4 linked regions of the Xenopus tropicalis genome follow. The protein of the gene in region 3 binds, or shares a complex with, the protein of the main gene of each other region. Links are inferred from orthologs where the notes say so. Each region holds a gene or a part of one and is shown on either strand. Other genes may lie near its edges.

Region 1 (4,568 bases), on a different chromosome or scaffold from region 3:
ACATTTTCTTTTCTTAGACAAGTTTTTATTTTTGGGTTTGTATTCCCTTTAAACTAAGGGGAAACTCCATAGGCTTTGGACATTGCCCTATATTTACCCCCTGCCCCGGTATATTTACCCCCTGCCCCGGTATATTTACCCCCTGCCTCGGTATATTTACCCCCTGCCTCGGTATATTTACCCCCTGCCTCGGTATATTTACCCCCTGCCTCGGTATATTTACCCCCTGCCTCGGTATATTTACCCCCTGCCTCGGTATATTTACCCCCCTGCCTCGGTATATTTACCCCCTGCCCCGGTATATTTACCCCCTGCCCCGGTATATTTACCCCCTGCCTCGGTAATTACCCCCTGCCTCGGTATATTTACCCCCTGCCTCGGTATATTACCCCCTGCCTCGGTTATATTTACCCCCTGCCTCGGTTTATTTACCCCCTGCCTCGGTTTATTTACCCCCTGCCTCGGTTATTTACCCCCTGCCTCGGTATATTTACCCCCTGCCTCGGTATATTACCCCTGCCCGGTATATTTACCCCCTGCCCCGGTATATTTACCCCCTGCCCTCGGTATATTTACCCCTGCCCGGTATATTTACCCCCTGCCTCGGTATATTTACCCCCTGCCTCAGTATATTTACCCCCTGCCCCAGTATATTTACCCCCTGCCCCAGTATATTTACCCCCTGCCTCAGTATATTTACCCCCTGCCTCAGTTTATTTACCCCCTGCCTCAGTATATTTACCCCCTGCCTCGGTTTATTTACCCCCTGCCTCAGTATATGTACCCCTGCCCCAGTATATTTACCCCTGCCCCAGTATATTTACCCCCCTGCCTCGGTATATTTACCCCCTGCCTCGGTATATTTACCCCCTGCCTCGGTATATTTACCCCCTGCCCCAGTATATTTACCCCCTGCCTCAGTATATTTACCCCCTGCCTCAGTATATTACCCCCTGCATCAGTATATTTACCCCCTGCCCCAGTATATTTACCCCCTGCATCAGTATATTTACCCCCTGCCTCAGTATATTTACCCCCTGCATCAGTATATTTACCCCCTGCCTCAGTATATTTACCCCCTGCATCAGTATATTTACCCCCTGCCCCAGTATATTTACCCCCTGCATCAGTATATTTACCCCTGCCTCAGTATATTTACCCCCTGCCCCAGTATATTTACCCCCTGCATCAGTATATTTACCCCCTGCCTCAGTATATTTACCCCCTGCCCCAGTATATTTACCCCCTGCCCCAGTATATTTACCCCCTGCCTCAGTATATTTACCCCCTGCCCCAGTATATTTACCCCCTGCCCCGGTATATTTACCCCCTGCCTCGGTATATTTACCCCCTGCCCCGGTATATTTACCCCCTGCCCCAGGCAGTTGCTCTGCCAGCCCCGGTACCTTGTGCGCTTCCTGCCGCCCCTCCTGACTGGACTTGGGATCCATGATAACAGTGAGGGCCCGTACGAGGCGGCCGCACAGGACATGCAGTTGGGAAGCCATTGCCCCGGTGCTATTACTGTGCCACTCACTGAGAGCACCCCCAGCAACTCTCCCATCATTGCGCATGCGCATTTGGTACCATAGAGCCGCTATGGGAGCGGTGCGCATGCGCAGTCGGGCGATTCTGTGTTTGCGCATGCGCACAGGCTGTTATGATCCTGTCACGCTTTAGCGGGAGTCCGAGTTGTGAGGGAGTACGGAGACCTGCTGGGGTCAAATGCCTTCATAGTGCAGACACCAACTGCGACGGTCTGGGAGAGGTTTGAAGTGTGTGAGTTTAGTCAGTCAGATCTGATACCTTATATGTCTTCCTGTTCCCTATTCTCTGTTTTGTGCTTCCTACTCCCTGTCCCCTGCTCTCTAACCCCTGCTCTCTAACCCCTACCCCCTGCTCTCTAACCCCTACCCCCTACTTCCTACTCCCTGTCCCCTGCTCTCTAACCCCTACCCCCTACTTCCTACTCCCTGTCCCCTGCTCTCTAACCCCTACCCCCTGCTTTCTACTCCCTGTCCCCTGCTCTCTAACCCCTACCCCTGCTCTCTAACCCCTGTCCCCTGCTCTCTAACCCCTACCCCCTACTTCCTACTCCCTGTCCCCTGCTCTCTAACCCCTACCCCCTGCTTTCTACTCCCTGTCCCCTACTTCCTACTCCCTGTCCCCTGCTTTCTACTCCCTGTCCCCTGCTTTCTACTCCCTGTCCCCTGCTTTCTACTCCCTGTCCCCTGCTCTCTAACCCCTACCCCCTGCTCTCTAACCCCTGTCCCCTGCTCTCTAACCCCTACCCCCTACTTCCTACTCCCTGTCCCCTGCTCTCTAACCCCTACCCCCTGCTCTCTAACCCCTACCCCCTGCTCTCTAACCCCTACCCCCTATTTCCTACTCCCTGTCCCCTGCTCTCTAACCCCTACCCCCTGCTCTCTAACCCCTACCCCCTACTTCCTACTCCCTGTCCCCTGCTCTCTAACCCCTACCCCCTGCTCTCTAACCCCTACCCCCTATTTCCTACTCCCTGTCCCCTGCTCTCTAACCCCTACCCCCTGCTCTCTAACCCCTACCCCCTACTTCCTACTCCCTGTCCCCTGCTCTCTAACCCCTACCCCCTGCTCTCTAACCCCTACCCCCTATTTCCTACTCCCTGTCCCCTGCTCTCTAACCCCTACCCCCTGCTCTCTAACCCCTACCCCCTACTTCCTACTCCCTGTCCCCTGCTCTCTAACCCCTACCCCCTACTTCCTACTCCCTGTCCCCTGCTCTCTAACCCCTACCCCCTGCTCTCTAACCCCTGCTCTCTAACCCCTACTTCCTACTCCCTGTCCCCTGCTCTCTAACCCCTACCCCCTGCTCTCTAACCCCTACCCCCTGCTCTCTAACTCCTACCCCCTACTTTTTACTGCCTGTCCCCTGCTCTCTAACCCCTACCCCCTACTTTCTCCTCCCACTTCCCTCCTCCCTATTCTGTGCTTTCTACTCCCTGTTCCCTGCTCTCTAACCCCTGCTTTCTACTCCCTGTTCCCTGCTCTCTAACCCCTGCTTTCTATTCCCTGTTCCCTGCTCTCTAACCCCTGCTTTCTGCTCCCTGTTCCCTGCTCTCTAACCCCTGCTATCTACTCCCTGTTCCCTGCTCTCTAACCCCTGCTATCTACTCCCTGTTCCCTGCTCTCTATCCTATGCTTTCTACTCCCTGTTCCCTGCTCTCTATCCTATGCTCTTTATTCCCTTGCTTTCCATTCCCTGCACAATGCCCACTCTCTCTCCCCCCAGTTCCCCCGCTCTTTCTGCCCCCAGTTCCCCCACGCTCTCTCTGCCCCCCCTGCTAGTTCAGTGTGTGTTTATTGAATAACTCCCAGAACCTTACTGCTCTTTCCAGTATCAGACTGCACTGAGCTGCAATGGAGTCGGGGCAGGAGCGAGTGGTGGCGCTGGTGGATATGGATTGTTTCTATGTACAAGTTGAGCAGCGCATGAATCCGGCACTGAAGAACAAGCCAGTGGCAGTGGTGCAGTACAAAACCTGGAAAGGAGGCGGGTGAGTTCCTGGTGCTTTTGCCTAGAAACAAGGGGCACTGAGTGCTGGTACCACTGGATCTCCTGCTTGTGAGGGTCCTATTTACCCTAGCAACCAGGCAGTGGTTTAAACAAGAGATGGAAATATGAATAGTAGAGGGCCTGCATAGAAATATAAGTAATAAAAAGTAACAATAAAACTGGAGCCTCGCAGAGCAATAGGGTTTGGCTGCCGGGGTCAGTGACCCCATTTGAAAACTGGAATAAGGCAGAAAATAAAGGCAAATAATTAAAAAAAAAAAAACTATAAGAAATGATGAAAACCAATTGCAAAGTTGCACGGAATAGGGCATTCTATAATGTACTAGAAGGTGAACCTCCCCTTTAAAGGCACACTCCTATAATATTAAAGGGCAGATATTGGAGCTGTATTTCCCCAGTGCCAGTAAGAGGGGACTCTTGTTCTGCTTACTTTCTTAGGCCAATAGAAGCTGCTTGGGTAGAACTTTCATTGCTTCTAAACAGATCAGCATTCGGACCCTCCTTGCACATATATCCGTGTTATGAGAATATTATAGCAATTACTTGGCACATATTATTCTCAGGGGGGGACCTCGGGGTTACCAGCACCTCCATGTTGTTTATGTGAAGGCCTGAGAGTTCCGTGTCTCCCTGTCTGTGCTCAGGATTATCGCTGTGAGCTATGAAGCCCGGGCCTTTGGCGTGACGAGGAACATGTTTGGTGACGACGCAAAGAAGCTGTGCGCTGATCTGCAGCTGGCCCGCGTCAGAGAGGCTCATGGGAAGGCTGACCTGACAAAGTAAGTAACTGTGGGACAGGGCTCTTTGCTGTCACTCACCCTGACACCCACCCTGTCGCTCTCTAGCTGTGTGACTGCTGCACATTATTCCACATTATTGCCGCATTTCAGGTAAAGACCCTTAATTTTAGGCTAATAAATAACATAAGTGTGACATATACAGATCAAAACACAAATGAAATACAAAGTACAAGTATAAGACCCATTATCCAGAATGCTCGGGACCTGGAGTTT
Region 2 (4,491 bases), on a different chromosome or scaffold from region 3:
ATTCGCGCTGACGTCATAACGCAATGGCGCGAAGTTTGAATATTTAAAGGGCTTCTGTTTACTTTTTCATTGCCCGTGATAGGATTTTGATCCTGGTGCTTTCCTGAGCCTTGTGCATTTCGTTCCTGTGTCCTGCTTGTTGCCTTCCTGTGTTTTTGACCCGGCTTGCTCCTGACTATTCTGATAATCCATTTCTGACCTCGGCTTGTACTTTGACTCCGATTTCGTCTCGTCCTGCTGTTTTGATTATCCGGTTTGACCCTTGCCTGTCTGACGATCCTTCTTACTGCCTGCCCCGACCCAGCCTGCCTGACTACGAACTTGCCTCATCCTTTTGTACCGTGATCTTCGGCCTAATTGACTTTAACTACAGTCGTGCCCCTTTGCTTGCCAGAACTCCTGCCTTGTTTCTCTCGTTAAGTCCAGGTGGCATCTGAGTAGCTGAGGGCTCCTCCCGAAGCCAAAGGCGGTCACAATACTGGTGAAGCCGAGACAAGGGAACTTGGCATCTGTTCTGGTTTAGGGTGCCGACCGTGACACGGTGCTGTTTTCCCTTTGTTCTAAAAATTAATCCTCTCTGTAAAAATGGCCCCTTTATTGGAGCTCCCTATAGATCGTATCACTTCTCTATCCAGTGTGAAATGAAGAGTGGGTGTGTCCTAACGGTCCCTGCCAGAAGCAAAGTAGGAGGGGGAGAGCCAATCACAGCCCTGCAGTCACACAAGCACAGCCAGACTTCAGTTCCCTATCAGGTCAGCCTAGCTGCTGATTGGTTCCTATCCTACAGTGCAGTGTACTGAGGGCCCCGGCTCCCTTGCACATTCAGAGAATTCAGCCAGCAGGAAGTGGAACAGATGGGCGGGACTAGTGGGGTTTTGGTGGAATTTCTCAATAAATCAGTCAGAAAAACAACTTTTTAAAGCACATTCCTTCTATATCTGGAGGAGTATAATTCACTGGTACATTCATAATTTTTATAGGATATGTCTCCTTTAAGCCCAGCACTGCAGACAAATAACTTGTAAGGAGCCCCAAGATTTTTGATAGAGGCTTTGTCTAGCATTGCCATTTCCCTTATTTCTTTTTTTATAATTTCCCATATGTTAATACAAATAATCCTTGTTTCTATTTGTTTACATTTATTGTGAAGTGCTGCATTATTTGCTGGCACATTATAATTAACTGATGATGATGATGATAATAATTCTTCACATTTGACAGATTTACTTTTTTGCTTGTAAAAATATAAAAGTATCTTGTATTTGCATGCAACTGACAGCTTATGCTGTAGCACACTTTATTTTTCTGCTTTGAGCACCAAATGCCAACTTCACTCAGGTATCATTGCGTTTAAATTCACTTTGTTTGCGAAGTAGGGTTGATAGGTATTCCCTCCACAAAGATGGCGGAACTGGCTTCTCCGAGTTAGAACCAAGTTCCAGGAAGTAGAGAGGGGCCGGCTGTAGCCGACTGAGGAAGACGGAACGTTGCTTGAATGGAGGAGGGAAAAAGAAAGTGAGATTATTTTCTGTCTATTGAGGCTTGAGCCATAGTTGGTAAGTGAAAGAAATGAAAGGGCCTCACACAGGATTTGAAAGCTCACATTTGGTGAGCAGAAGCGCTGCCTGTGTGAGTGGAAATGCTTTCAATGATTTCTGCACAAGTGACAGCTGCATGATGTGACATGTCTGTACTTGCTCCTGCTGTTTACATGTATATGAGTTTTTCTGTGTTTAGTGGAACCCGGTTTTGAATGCAGTGGCAGTGTTATTTTATTTGCTTTGAGGCGGGTTGGTCTGTACATTCATTTGCAAGAAAAGGTTTGAATTATATAAATTGATTGTACATACATGTTCACATAATACAGACATTAAGTCCTCTGGTTGCTAGTCTTTTTTCACTGTGTATAAATATCTTTTATGATGTACCAGGGAAATATGAAAAAAAAAAAATTACATATATAGCATTATAATATAAAGCATATAATATAAAGCATTATGCTATAAAGTCATACAATCAACTCAGCAATCCCCCTTGATTGAATGCCACTAATCTGTTTGTGCAGCCATAAGAGCAGCGTGCTAATATTGACTGAAATTTTTTTACACATTAACACAATTTACAAAAGGTATATGCTTCTTGGAATTTTGGGGTAAAAACATGATAATTAGCATCCAAAAAGTACCCTTAAAGGAGAAGGAAAGGCTAAGTCACTTGGGGGTGCCATAATGTTAGGCACCCCATTGACTTTAATCGCATACCTTTTACCCCGGGCTGGTGCCCCTGTTAGGAGAAAACAGCACCAGCCCGGGGTACCTGCACTGAGCACTTCCTTCTTCCGTGTTCACTCTGCCGTCAAAGTCCCTGGACCGGCGCCTGTGTATTAGAGTGAAAAGCTGACTTTGTTGTTAAAATTTTGCTAAACTACGCATGCGCACGAACAAGGAAAAAGGAAGCGCTCTCAGCTACCCCGGGGTAAAAGGTAAGCGATTAAAGTCACTTGGGGGTGCCTAACATTTTGGCACCCCCAAGTGACTTAGCCTTTCCTTCTTCTTTAACACCATGGGGTCCATTTATCAATGTACGATTAAAAGAAGTTTTAGAACTGTGTCTATTTTCTGCGATTTTTTTCATTATCTGCTTTTTCGTGCTTTGCGACAATTTGTGCAACATAATCGTATTTGTCGCAAAGCGTTCGAAAGTTTTGGATTCATTAAAGCTTCAGTATTGTAACTTTCCTTGGGCCAGGTTGGAGCTGCAGAGTGCCATTGAGCCCTATGGGAGGCTTTCCTTGGGCCGGGTTGGAGCTGCAGAGTGCCACTGAGCCCTATGGGAGACTTTCCTTGGGCCGGGTTGGAGCTGCAGAGTGCCATTGAGCCCTATGGGAGACTTTCCTTGGGCCAGGTTGGAGCTGCAGAGTGCCATTGAGCCCTATGGGAGGCTTTCCTTGGGCCGGGTTGGAGCTGCAGAGTGCCATTGAGCCCTATGGGAGGCTTTCCTTGGGCCGGGTTGGAGCTGCAGAGTGCCATTGAGCCCTATGGGAGGCTTTCCTTGGGCCGGGTTGGAGCTGCAGAGTGCCATTGAGCCCTATGGGAGACTTTCCTTGGGCCGGGTTGGAGCTGCAGAGTGCCATTGAGCCCTATGGGAGACTTTCCTTGGGCCAGGTTGGAGCTGCAGAGTGCCATTGAGCCCTATGGGAGGCTTTCCTTGGGCCGGGTTGGAGCTGCAGAGTGCCATTGAGCCCTATGGGAGACTTTCCTTGGGCCGGGTTGGAGCTGCAGAGTGCCATTCAGCCCTATGGGAGACTTTCCTTGGGCCAGGTTGGAGATGCAGAGTGCCATTGAGCCCTATGGGAGGCTTTCCTTGGGCCAGGTTGGAGCTGCAGAGTGTCATTGAGTCCTATGGGAGGTTTCCAAAAACATGCACAGAAGGTTCAGTCAGAAAGTTTATTTGCGCCTTTTTACGATCGTTCGGATACGAAAATTTCAGAACTGTCGGATCGCACCATGATATTTTTGTACGACCACAATGCAATCTGAAATTTTCATATCTAATACAAAATTTTTGCTGCCCGAAATTCGGACTTTGATAAATCAGCCCCCATGTGTTGCATTAACAAGTGTGCTTTGTCATAACTTGTAAGGAATGAAGAGAGATAAAAGTAGGATGCACCAAATACAGGACAAGAGTTAGGTGATTTGCAGAATTTTAAGTATTCAGCCCTATATGATTATGAACCCTCGTGAGTCATGTGACACAATTAATGCCATTTTTTCAATTTGAATAAACAAATTATGGTTCCGAAGTGCTTTGTACAAGATTTATTGAAATTTGATGAATTCTGTGCCCAATAGAAAAGTGGTCACTGTATCCACAGTCACAAGGCATGATAGAAAGGTTAAAAAGAGCTTTTAGAAAGATGTCCACACAAATCTGTGTTTGTTTTTGCATAATTAAAAAAACGTAATTCTAAACAAATTTCCAATATATGTTACTTACAAATACTTGGTGATTTCAAGATATCTGTATGTGTAATTATTTTTATGTTTTTTAAATAATTTAGCTTTTTGTTCAACAGCTCTCTGGTTTGTAACTGGTTGTTAGGGTCCAATATAACTTAGTAACCAGGCAGTGGCTTGAATGAAAGACTGAAATATAAATAGTAGGGCGACTGAAGAGATCGGTAAGTAATAAAAATTAACAGTAACAATACAGTTGTAGCCTCACAGAGCCATAGTATTTTTGGCTGCAAGTAACCCCCATTTGAAAGCTAGAAAAAGGAGGAAGAGGAAGGCAAATAACTCAAAAACTTACAAAAATGAAAAACGAATAGGCCATTCTGTAATGTGCTAAAAGTTAACATCAAGGTGAACCACCCCTGTAACTGCTTGTCTGATCACATAAAATGAAGCAGAAATCAGCTGCCTTCCATGCTTTGGTTATTTTACTTCTTCTTAGGTCTGTTAAGAGAAATTGCAAGTACAGGTATTG
Region 3 (3,933 bases):
ATGATTATGTATTATATTGGAATTAGCAACATATCATAAAATAATTAGATCAATAGAAAATTACTGTAAACAAACAAAAAGAAACTACTTAATTAATTAAAATTACTTAAATTGCTAACTTGGCACTAAAGTGCTGCCATCTTTCCAGACTTGTGCACTTGGGTACTATAGCAAAATTTTCAAATATTACCGACAAGATGGCAGAATAGAGTTAAGCAAAAATGATTCCTGGGCTTGTACATTTTTTCCAAGAAAAAGAAATCCAGCCAGTTCAATCCAGTGAACAGCGATTTCATTTATTGGGTGGGTGCATAACATCTTGGTACCCCTCCCCCAGGGAATAAGAATATTCTTTAAATCCTATACAGGTATTTTCATCCCACTATATACAGGAGGATGAAACATACGATTTATGGCCTTCAACAATCACTGCAGTAAATAATTAGTAAATATTAATTTGGTCTATTTATTAATTATTATGCATTAACCCAAGTGAGTTTTAGTAAACCAATAAGACATATATTGCTAAATTACATTTAGACTGCAATCTCTAATGAGCAGGGCCCTCTTCACTTCCTGTATCAGGCAATGTTTGTATATTCGATGTGTACACCCCCCTTTCACTGTAAAGCAATGTTTATTATGTATATCTGTGTTAATGATAATAAAAATAATAGTTGCCAGTATCCCTGGCAATTAGACTACAGTCCATTTAATACACAAACATACCAGCTTTTCCCTTTAGTATCCTGTTTTGATAATACTGAAACTCTAGCTGAGGATTAGCTCCTTCCCGCGTTGTCGTTGTTCCAGCACCTCTGTTGCTTGTAACAGCGACTGGTTTTCCTTTTCAGATAATAAGAAAAATCACAGTTATATGGTTTAATAGCAAACTAAGATACATGATTTTTCACAGAACAACCATGAACGTGATCAAAATTACCTTTATGTATATAATAAACATCACAAGCCATTACCAGTGTAAACTGTACTAATGACAACTGGTATACAATGGGTACAAAATGACACTGCATGCAATATATCAAACAATTATTATTTGCAACCACATGCTGCACAGTTACCTTTGAGGTCCGGACGGTTGCGAATAGCCACAGATACAAAGAAGCAGTCCATATCTACGTGTATGATACAGTTCTGGCACTTCGGTAATGTGGAAGGAGGCATATTACCTAATTAAATACAGTAAAATGATCTTAACTCCTGGAATGTATTGTACTTTGCACATTACATCACACAAGAATGTTGCATATTCTAATGGGAGAGAAACTCTATTTAGAAAATTACATGCTACTTTAAATAATAATATCCCCATTGTCTAAAAATCCCTAGTGCTTAGGAATTGTACGCTACCTGAACATACAAAGTAAAATGCTTTACTGGAGAAACAGTAATAGCTTCTTGAACATCAATAATAAATAATTAATAAATGCAGCAAGCACAGAATGCATTTTCTCCTAAATTGAAAAAATGTGGGGTGTACCCATGAAATTCATAACATTTCATTTTGTTTTATTTTTAAGAAGGAATAGAATATTTACAAGGTTCTGTAAAAAATGTATGCATAGACATTATTAGTACCTCAATAAAATTTTGTACATGGTCACAGCATGATATTATGATGCAAATACATTGATGCAGGTCAACACTATATGGTTTTCCCATAGATAACTATACTGGAAAATAAAGGTTTTCTTTTTATAAAGAAATAAGAATTAGAAATTCTGATACCATCAGTAGCTGTGCTTTTTCAGTTTACCTTTACTAGAGAGTGATAAATGGTAATTTTTGGAGCTTTATAGAGAGCCAAAAGGGCTATTAGTTTGTATACTAAAATTTGTGGCATCAAATGAATTTAAAGAGAGTTAAATACTATTGCATATAGTATTGTTGCTGAAAGTTGAATTAAATATTTTATCACACTTCTAATAGTAATTCATCCCACATGCTGAGGGAGTATAAAGATAATTGAAAATAAAATACAGGTGCATTTCGGAAAGGATTTAAACAGACTTTTGGTCATGCATGCAAATATATTTAAAGCTTTACTTGGAACAACATAGAGGAAAAATTACACTAGTACCTGTATACTAGATTTCCCAAAACAGGCTATAACCTGGACACATAGGTAGATCCATAGTTTAGAGCAGGGTTATAAAACTGGAGGCCAGTGGGGGCAGTTAAAGGACACTAAGACATTAAACAGCCCTCAGCCAGCCTCAAAGTCCTAAACTCTGTTTGACATTATTTAAAAAGAATCCAACCTACATATCTGTGATCCACAGGCAAATCATTAAGGTTGGATCATTAGTCCACTTGTAAAAGCTGCACAAAAAGATTGTAGTGAGTAAAAATGACAATGTACAGGTCCCCAAGGTACCTCAACAAATAGAAAAAAAGTATCCACAGACATAGTGCAAAACTATAAGTTCCATGCAGGATGCTGCCGCTTTGCAGAGCGATTTGACAAAATTAGATAACTGGGCAGCAAACTGGAAAATGAGGTTCAATGTTGATAAGTGCAAAGTTATGCACTTTGGTAGAAATAATATAAACGCAAACTATCTACTGAATGGTAGTGTGTTGGGGGTATCCTTAATGGAGAAGGATCTAGGGTTTTTTGTTGATAACAAGTTGTCTAATGCCAGGCAGTGTCATTCTGTGGCTACTAAATAAAGTGCTGTCTTGTATAAAAAAGGGCGTTGACTCAAGGGATGAGAACATAATTTTGCCCCTTTATAGGTCCCTGGTAAGGCCTCACCTTGAGTATGCAGTGCAGTTTTGGGCTCCAGTCCTTAAGAAGGATATTAATGAGCTGGAGAAAGTGCAGAGACGTGCAACTAAACTGGTTAAGGGGATGGAAGATTTAAACTATGAGGTGAGACTGTCGAGGTTGGGGTTGTTTTCTCTGGAAAAGAGGCGCTTGCGAGGGGACATGATTACTCTGTACAAGTACATTAGAGGGGATTATAGGCAGATGGGGGATGTTCTTTTTTCCCATAAAAACAATCAATGCACCAGAGGTCACCCCTTTAGATTAGAGGAAAGGAGCTTCCATTTGAAGCAGCGTAGGTGGTTTTTCACGGTGAGGGCAGTGAGGTTATGGAATGCCCTTCCTAGTGATGTGGTAATGGCAGATTCTGTTAATGCCTTTAAGAGGGGCCTGGATGAGTTCTTGATCAATCAGAATATCCAAGGCTATTGTGATACTAATATCTACAGTTAGTACTAGTGGTTGTATTTATAGTTTATGTATGTGAGTGTATAGAATGGTAGGTGTGGGTTAGGTGTGCTGGGTTTACTTGGATGGGTTGAACTTGATGGACACTGGTCTTTTTTCAACCCTATGTAACTATGTAACTATAGTCACGCCCCCTGATCCACCCCAATCATGACTATTACATGAAAACCACTTCCATGATCTGACAAAACCCTGCCTATTCTCCCACAAGCTCTTCATGGTCTGCAAATTAAAATGTAATGTCTAATGGGGCCCCTGATTGCTGTACCCCATGTACCCCTTTATGGCAGCCCTGAAAATGTAAATAGTGAAACAATACTTTATAACATACATACCAGGCTTTAATTTTTTTAACCTCTCCCGACCTGGGAAGCCTTTGTTACTTTGAGTCTGTAGACCGCGCACAAACTCAGTGAACTCACACTTCCACGTCGATATATGATGAAGTCTGGAGTGAGAATAAAAATCTGAAATAAAATTGGGGTCAGCTGTTTTAGGCAGCTGTAGAGAGGCCAGCTTGGCAGGGGAGAGTGCAGTAGTGCTTGTGCTTGAAGGCCCCGGAAGCGAGTGGTGAGCACCATTAATTTTCGAATTTGTGTGCAAACATGAGGATGAGGGTAAGGATGAAGTCCTATGAGGATTGCAGAAAACATCTGTTTGTCTGCTGTTTGGTT
Region 4 (4,677 bases), about 62 Mb from region 3:
AAGTGTGCCTGAGTCTGAGCTTTCAGCCAGCGCTACACATTAGAACTGCTTTCAGCTAACCTATTGTTTCTCCTACTCCCATGTAACTGGAGGAGTCCCAAGCCGGACTTGGATTTCTTACTATTGAGTGCTATTCTGATACCTACTGGGAGCTGCTATCTTGCTCCCTTCCCATTGTTCTGCTGATCGGCTGCTGGGGGTGAGGGGGGGGGGATATCACTCCAACTTGCAGCGCAGCAGTAAAGTGTGAGTGAAGTTTATCAGAGCACAGGTCACATGGCTGTGGCACCCTGGGAAATGAAGAATATGGCTAGCCCCATGGGACATTTCAAAATGAAATATAAAAAAATATGTATGCATTTTTGTAAATGGGGGGATATTCGCAGTGAGGCCCCAATGGGAAGCAAGGGGGGGGGGGCAGTACTCACTGTTTCGCCAGGTTAACATGGACGCCCAGCGTGTGGCTCAGCCATTTGTACGTCACCTGTAACGCAAGCAGAGAGAATGGCGTCAGTCGGGGCAAGTCAGTATGATACATAGCGATACAGATGGGCGGGGCTAGAGGGATAATGAGGCTGAAATACCGGCAGCCCATTGGCTCAGTAACACAACAGGGACTGCCTGGGTCTCACTGCATTTGTACTGACCCAACCCCTGAACCAGAGGTGACCAAAACTGGCCAAAAACCAGATTGGGGCCCTGTTCCAAATGCAACATTATAAGGGTCATGCAAGGAATTATGGGAAGACCCCATCGTTCCCATCTGGGTGGGGGGGGGGATGACCCCAGGGTCCCCATCTGGGTAGGGGGGGGATGACCCCAGGGTCCCCATCTGGGTAAGGGGGGGATGACCCCAGGGTCCCCATCTGGGTAAGGGGGGGATGACCCCAGGGTCCCCATCTGGGTAAGGGGGTGACCCCAGGGTGCCCATCTGGGTAGGGGGGGGGTGACCCCAGGGTGCCCATCTGGGTAGGGGGGGTGACCCCAGGGTGCCCATCTGGGTAGGGGGGGTGACCCCAGGGTGCCCATCTGGGTAGGGGGGGGGTGACCCCAGGGTGCCCATCTGGGTGGGGGGGGGGATGACCCCAGGGTGCCCATCTGGGTGGGGGGGGGGGATGACCCCAGGGTGCCCATCTGGGTGGGGGGGGGGGGGATGACCCCAGGGTGCCTATCTGGGTGGGGGGGGGATGACCCCAGGGTGCCTATCTGGGTGGGGGGGGGGGGATGACCCCAGGGTGCCTATCTGGGTGGGGGGGGGGGGATGACCCCAGGGTGCCTATCTGGGTGGGGGGGGATGACCCCAGGGTGCCATCTGGGTAGGGGGGGGGTGACCCCAGGGTCCCCATCTGGGTAAGGGGGGGATGACCCCAGGGTCCCCATCTGGGTAGGGGGGGATGACCCCAGGGTCCCCATCTGGGTAGGGGGGGATGACCCCAGGGTCCCCATCTGGGTAAGGGGGGGATGACCCCAGGGTGCCCATCTGGGTAAGGGGGGGGATGACCCCAGGGTCCCCATCTGGGTAAGGGGGGGATGACCCCAGGGTCCCCATCTGGGTAGGGGGGGGGTGACCCCAGGGTGCCCATCTGGGTAAGGGGGGGGATGACCCCAGGGTCCCCATCTGGGTAGGGGGGGATGACCCCAGGGTCCCCATCTGGGTAGGGGGGGGGTGACCCCAGGGTCCCCATCTGGGTAGGGGGGGGGGTGACCCCAGGGTCCCCATCTGGGTAAGGGGGGGATGACCCCAGGGTGCCCATCTGGGTAGGGGATGACCCCAGGGTGCCTATATGGGTGGTGGGGGGGGGGGATGACCCCTGGGTGCCTATCTGGGTGGGGGGGGATGACCCCAGGGTGCCTATCTGGGTGGGGGGGGGATGACCCCAGGGTGCCTATCTGGGTGGGGGGGGGATGACCCCAGGGTGCCTATCTGGGTAGGGGGGGGTGACCCCAGGGTCCCCATCTGGGTAGGGGGGGGGGATGACCCCAGGGTGCCCATCTGGGTAGGGGGGGGATGACCCCAGGGTGCCTATCTGGGTAGGGGTGACCCCAGGGTCCCCATCTGGGTAGGGGGGGGGGGATGACCCCAGGGTGCCCATCTGGGTAGGGGGGGGGGATGACCCAGGGTGCCTATCTGGGTAGGGGGGGGGTGACCCCAGGGTGCCCATCTGGGTAGGGGGGGATGACCCCAGGGTGCCCATCTGGGTAGGGGGGGATGACCCCAGGGTGCCTATCTGGGTAGGGGGGGGTGACCCCAGGGTGCCCATCTGGGTAGGGGGGGTGACCCCAGGGTGCCCATCTGGGTAGGGGGGGGATGACCCCAGGGTGCCCATCTGGGTAGGGGGGCCCGGGGGGGGGGGGATGACCCCAGGGTGCCCATCTGGGTAGGGGGGGGGATGACCCCAGGGTGCCCATCTGGGTGGGGTGGGGGGGGGGATGACCCCAGGGTGCACATCTGGGTGGGTGGGGGGGGGATGACCCCAGGGTGCACATCTGGGTGGGTGGGGGGGGGATGACCCCAGGGTGCACATCTGGGTGGGTGGGGGGGGGATGACCCCAGGGTGCACATCTGGGTGGGTGGGGGGGGATGACCCCAGGGTGCCCATCTGGGTAAGGGGGAATAAACCACCAAATTGCCCATGCCAGGGAGAAGCGGCCCGGGTATTATTATAAGAAGGGACGGCAGGTTCCATTCAGAAGAGCCGGAGAGCCCCAGTTGCTCGGAACTCACGATCTTATTCTGATCAGCCACCAGCTCGTCGATATTCTCCAGGTACAGTTCGTCCATAGCTCCCGCCCGGGTCCGGCCCCAGGGAACCCGCAGCTACTCTCTATACTTGGCGCCTGACAACCGAGGCCAGCGGGAGCGGGGAGCGCAGGCGCAAAAGCACCAACATCATTGGCGGAGAGAAGACGCGGCTAAAGACGCTGCCCAATGAGAAGCGAGCTGCGCACACGTGGAACAGAAATAAACACGCCCCTTCCCTGTGCCAGTACTAGAGCAAGGCACGCCGGGAAGGTTAACTCTATATGTGCTGGAGGCAGGACCTCTGCAGGCTCTCTCTATAGGGCAGGCAGACTTTACCCTTACAGGCAGATACAAGGGGGAATCTGTAGGAAATGGAGTCACAGCTTGAACAGGCAAACCTGGGGTTTAAAGGGACCCTGCCCTCATATTTATGGGGCTGTTTGTCTCTAAATGACACTGTCACACAGAAACAATTCCCTCTGCCATTTAACCTTCTATTCTTGTACCAACAAATGTATTTGTAGCTGTAATATTGGTGTGTAGGCGCCATCTCAGTGCCTTGTGCCTGAGTCTGAGCTTTCAGCCAGCGCTACACATTAGAACTGCTTTCAGCTAACCTATTGTTTCTCCTACTCCCATGTAACTGGAGGAGTCCCAAGCCGGACTTGGATTTCTTACTATTGAGTGCTATTCTGATACCTACTGGGAGCTGCTATCTTGCTCCCTTCCCATTGTTCTGCTGATTGGCTGCTGGGGGTGAGGGGGGGGGATATCACTCCAACTTGCAGCGCAGCAGTAAAGTGTGCCTGAGTCTGAGCTTTCAGCCAGCGCTACTCATTAGAACTGCTTTCAGCTAACCTATTGTTTCTCCTACTCCCATGTAACTGGAGGAGTCCCAAGCCGGACTTGGATTTCTTACTATTGAGTGCTATTCTGATACCTACTGGGAGCTGCTATCTTGCTCCCTTCCCATTGTTCTGCTGATTGGCTGCTGGGGGTGAGGGGGGGGATATCACTCCAACTTGCAGCGCAGCAGTAAAGTGTGCCTGAGTCTGAGCTTTCAGCCAGCGCTACTCATTAGAACTGCTTTCAGCTAACCTATTGTTTCTCCTACTCCCATGTAACTGGAGGAGTCCCAAGCCGGACTTGGATTTCTTACTATTGAGTGCTATTCTGATACCTACTGGGAGCTGCTATCTTGCTCCCTTCCCATTGTTCTGCTGATCGGCTGCTGGGGGTGATGTTTTCCCATGTCAGTGTTCCTTTAATGTATGTGAACTGGAACAATTTTATCCCTATAGCCTACAGCAGCACTTGGTATCCATAGTACAGGTATGGGACCCGTTATCCAGAATGCTCGGGACCTGGGATTTTCCGGATAAGGGGTATTTCTATAATAGGATTGTTCTGCCCCCAATAAGGGGTAATTATATCTTAGTTGGGATCAAGTACAGGTACTGTTTTATTATAACAGAGAAAAGGGAATCATTTAACCATTAAATAAACCCAATAGGGCTGTTCTGCCCCCAATAAGGGGTAATTATATCTTAGTTGGGATCAAGTACAGGTACTGTTTTATTATTACAGAGAAAAGGGAATCATTTAACCATTAAATAAACCCAATAGGGCTGTTCTGCCCCAATAAGGGGTAATTATATCTTAGTTGGGATCAAGTACAGGTACTGTTTTATTATTACAGAGAAAAGGGAATCATTTAACCATTAAATAAACCCAATAGGGCTGTTCTGCCCCAATAAGGGGTAATTATATCTTAGTTGGGATCAAGTACAGGTACTGTTTTATTATTACAGAGAAAAGGGAATCATTTAACCATTAAATAAACCCAATAGGGCTGTTCTGCCCCAATAAGGGGTAATTATATCTTAGTTGGGATCAAGTACAGGTACTGTTTTATTATTACAGAGAAAAGGGAA

Evidence for each region.
Region 1: the proteins of rev1 (region 3) and polh are in contact, whole or in part, in an NMR structure (PDB 2LSK), measured with the Homo sapiens proteins. The link is inferred for Xenopus tropicalis from reciprocal best matches to the Homo sapiens genes REV1 and POLH. Residues at the interface, in NP_057400.1 of Homo sapiens: Asn1158, Leu1159, Ala1160, Gly1161, Leu1171, Leu1172, Trp1175, Ile1179, Asp1181, Pro1182, Met1183, Glu1185, Asp1186, Gln1189, Val1190; in NP_006493.1 of Homo sapiens: Thr528, Glu529, Pro530, Phe531, Phe532, Lys533, Lys535, Ser536, Leu539.
Region 2: the proteins of rev1 (region 3) and polk are in contact, whole or in part, in an NMR structure (PDB 2LSI), measured with the Homo sapiens proteins. The link is inferred for Xenopus tropicalis from reciprocal best matches to the Homo sapiens genes REV1 and POLK. Residues at the interface, in NP_057400.1 of Homo sapiens: Asn1158, Leu1159, Ala1160, Gly1161, Ala1162, Asp1167, Leu1171, Leu1172, Glu1174, Trp1175, Thr1178, Ile1179, Met1183, Glu1185, Asp1186, Gln1189, Val1190; in NP_001374042.1 of Homo sapiens: Lys564, Lys565, Ser566, Phe567, Phe568, Asp569, Lys571, Arg572, Arg575.
Region 4: the proteins of rev1 (region 3) and pold3 are in contact, whole or in part, in an NMR structure (PDB 2N1G), measured with the Homo sapiens proteins. The link is inferred for Xenopus tropicalis from reciprocal best matches to the Homo sapiens genes REV1 and POLD3. Residues at the interface, in NP_057400.1 of Homo sapiens: Asn1158, Leu1159, Ala1160, Gly1161, Leu1171, Leu1172, Glu1174, Trp1175, Ile1179, Met1183, Glu1184, Glu1185, Asp1186, Gln1189, Val1190; in NP_006582.1 of Homo sapiens: Gly232, Asn233, Met234, Met235, Ser236, Asn237, Phe238, Phe239, Gly240, Ala242, Ala243, Met244.

What each region holds. Positions count from the first base shown.
Region 1 is NC_030681.2:2,465,478-2,470,045, reverse strand, and holds the start of polh (DNA polymerase eta), read left to right. Parts: upstream 1-1,669; 5' UTR 1,670-1,779; intron 1,780-3,376; 5' UTR 3,377-3,398; coding exon 3,399-3,535; intron 3,536-4,199; coding exon 4,200-4,334; intron 4,335-4,568. Other genes in the region: exportin-5, read right to left, coding at 1,407-1,646. UniProt on the Homo sapiens protein: DNA polymerase specifically involved in the DNA repair by translesion synthesis (TLS). Due to low processivity on both damaged and normal DNA, cooperates with the heterotetrameric (REV3L, REV7, POLD2 and POLD3) POLZ complex for complete bypass of DNA lesions.
Region 2 is NC_030677.2:184,304,364-184,308,854, forward strand, and holds the start of polk (DNA polymerase kappa), read left to right. Parts: upstream 1-1,406; 5' UTR 1,407-1,556; intron 1,557-4,491. UniProt on the Homo sapiens protein: DNA polymerase specifically involved in DNA repair. Plays an important role in translesion synthesis, where the normal high-fidelity DNA polymerases cannot proceed and DNA synthesis stalls.
Region 3 is NC_030678.2:112,573,149-112,577,081, reverse strand, and holds part of rev1 (DNA repair protein REV1), read right to left. Parts: coding exon 3,595-3,933; intron 1,191-3,594; coding exon 1,083-1,190; intron 847-1,082; coding exon 730-846; intron 1-729. UniProt on the Homo sapiens protein: Deoxycytidyl transferase involved in DNA repair. Transfers a dCMP residue from dCTP to the 3'-end of a DNA primer in a template-dependent reaction.
Region 4 is NC_030678.2:174,997,010-175,001,686, reverse strand, and holds the start of pold3 (DNA polymerase delta subunit 3), read right to left. Parts: upstream 2,846-4,677; 5' UTR 2,783-2,845; coding exon 2,726-2,782; intron 485-2,725; coding exon 429-484; intron 1-428. UniProt on the Homo sapiens protein: Accessory component of both the DNA polymerase delta complex and the DNA polymerase zeta complex.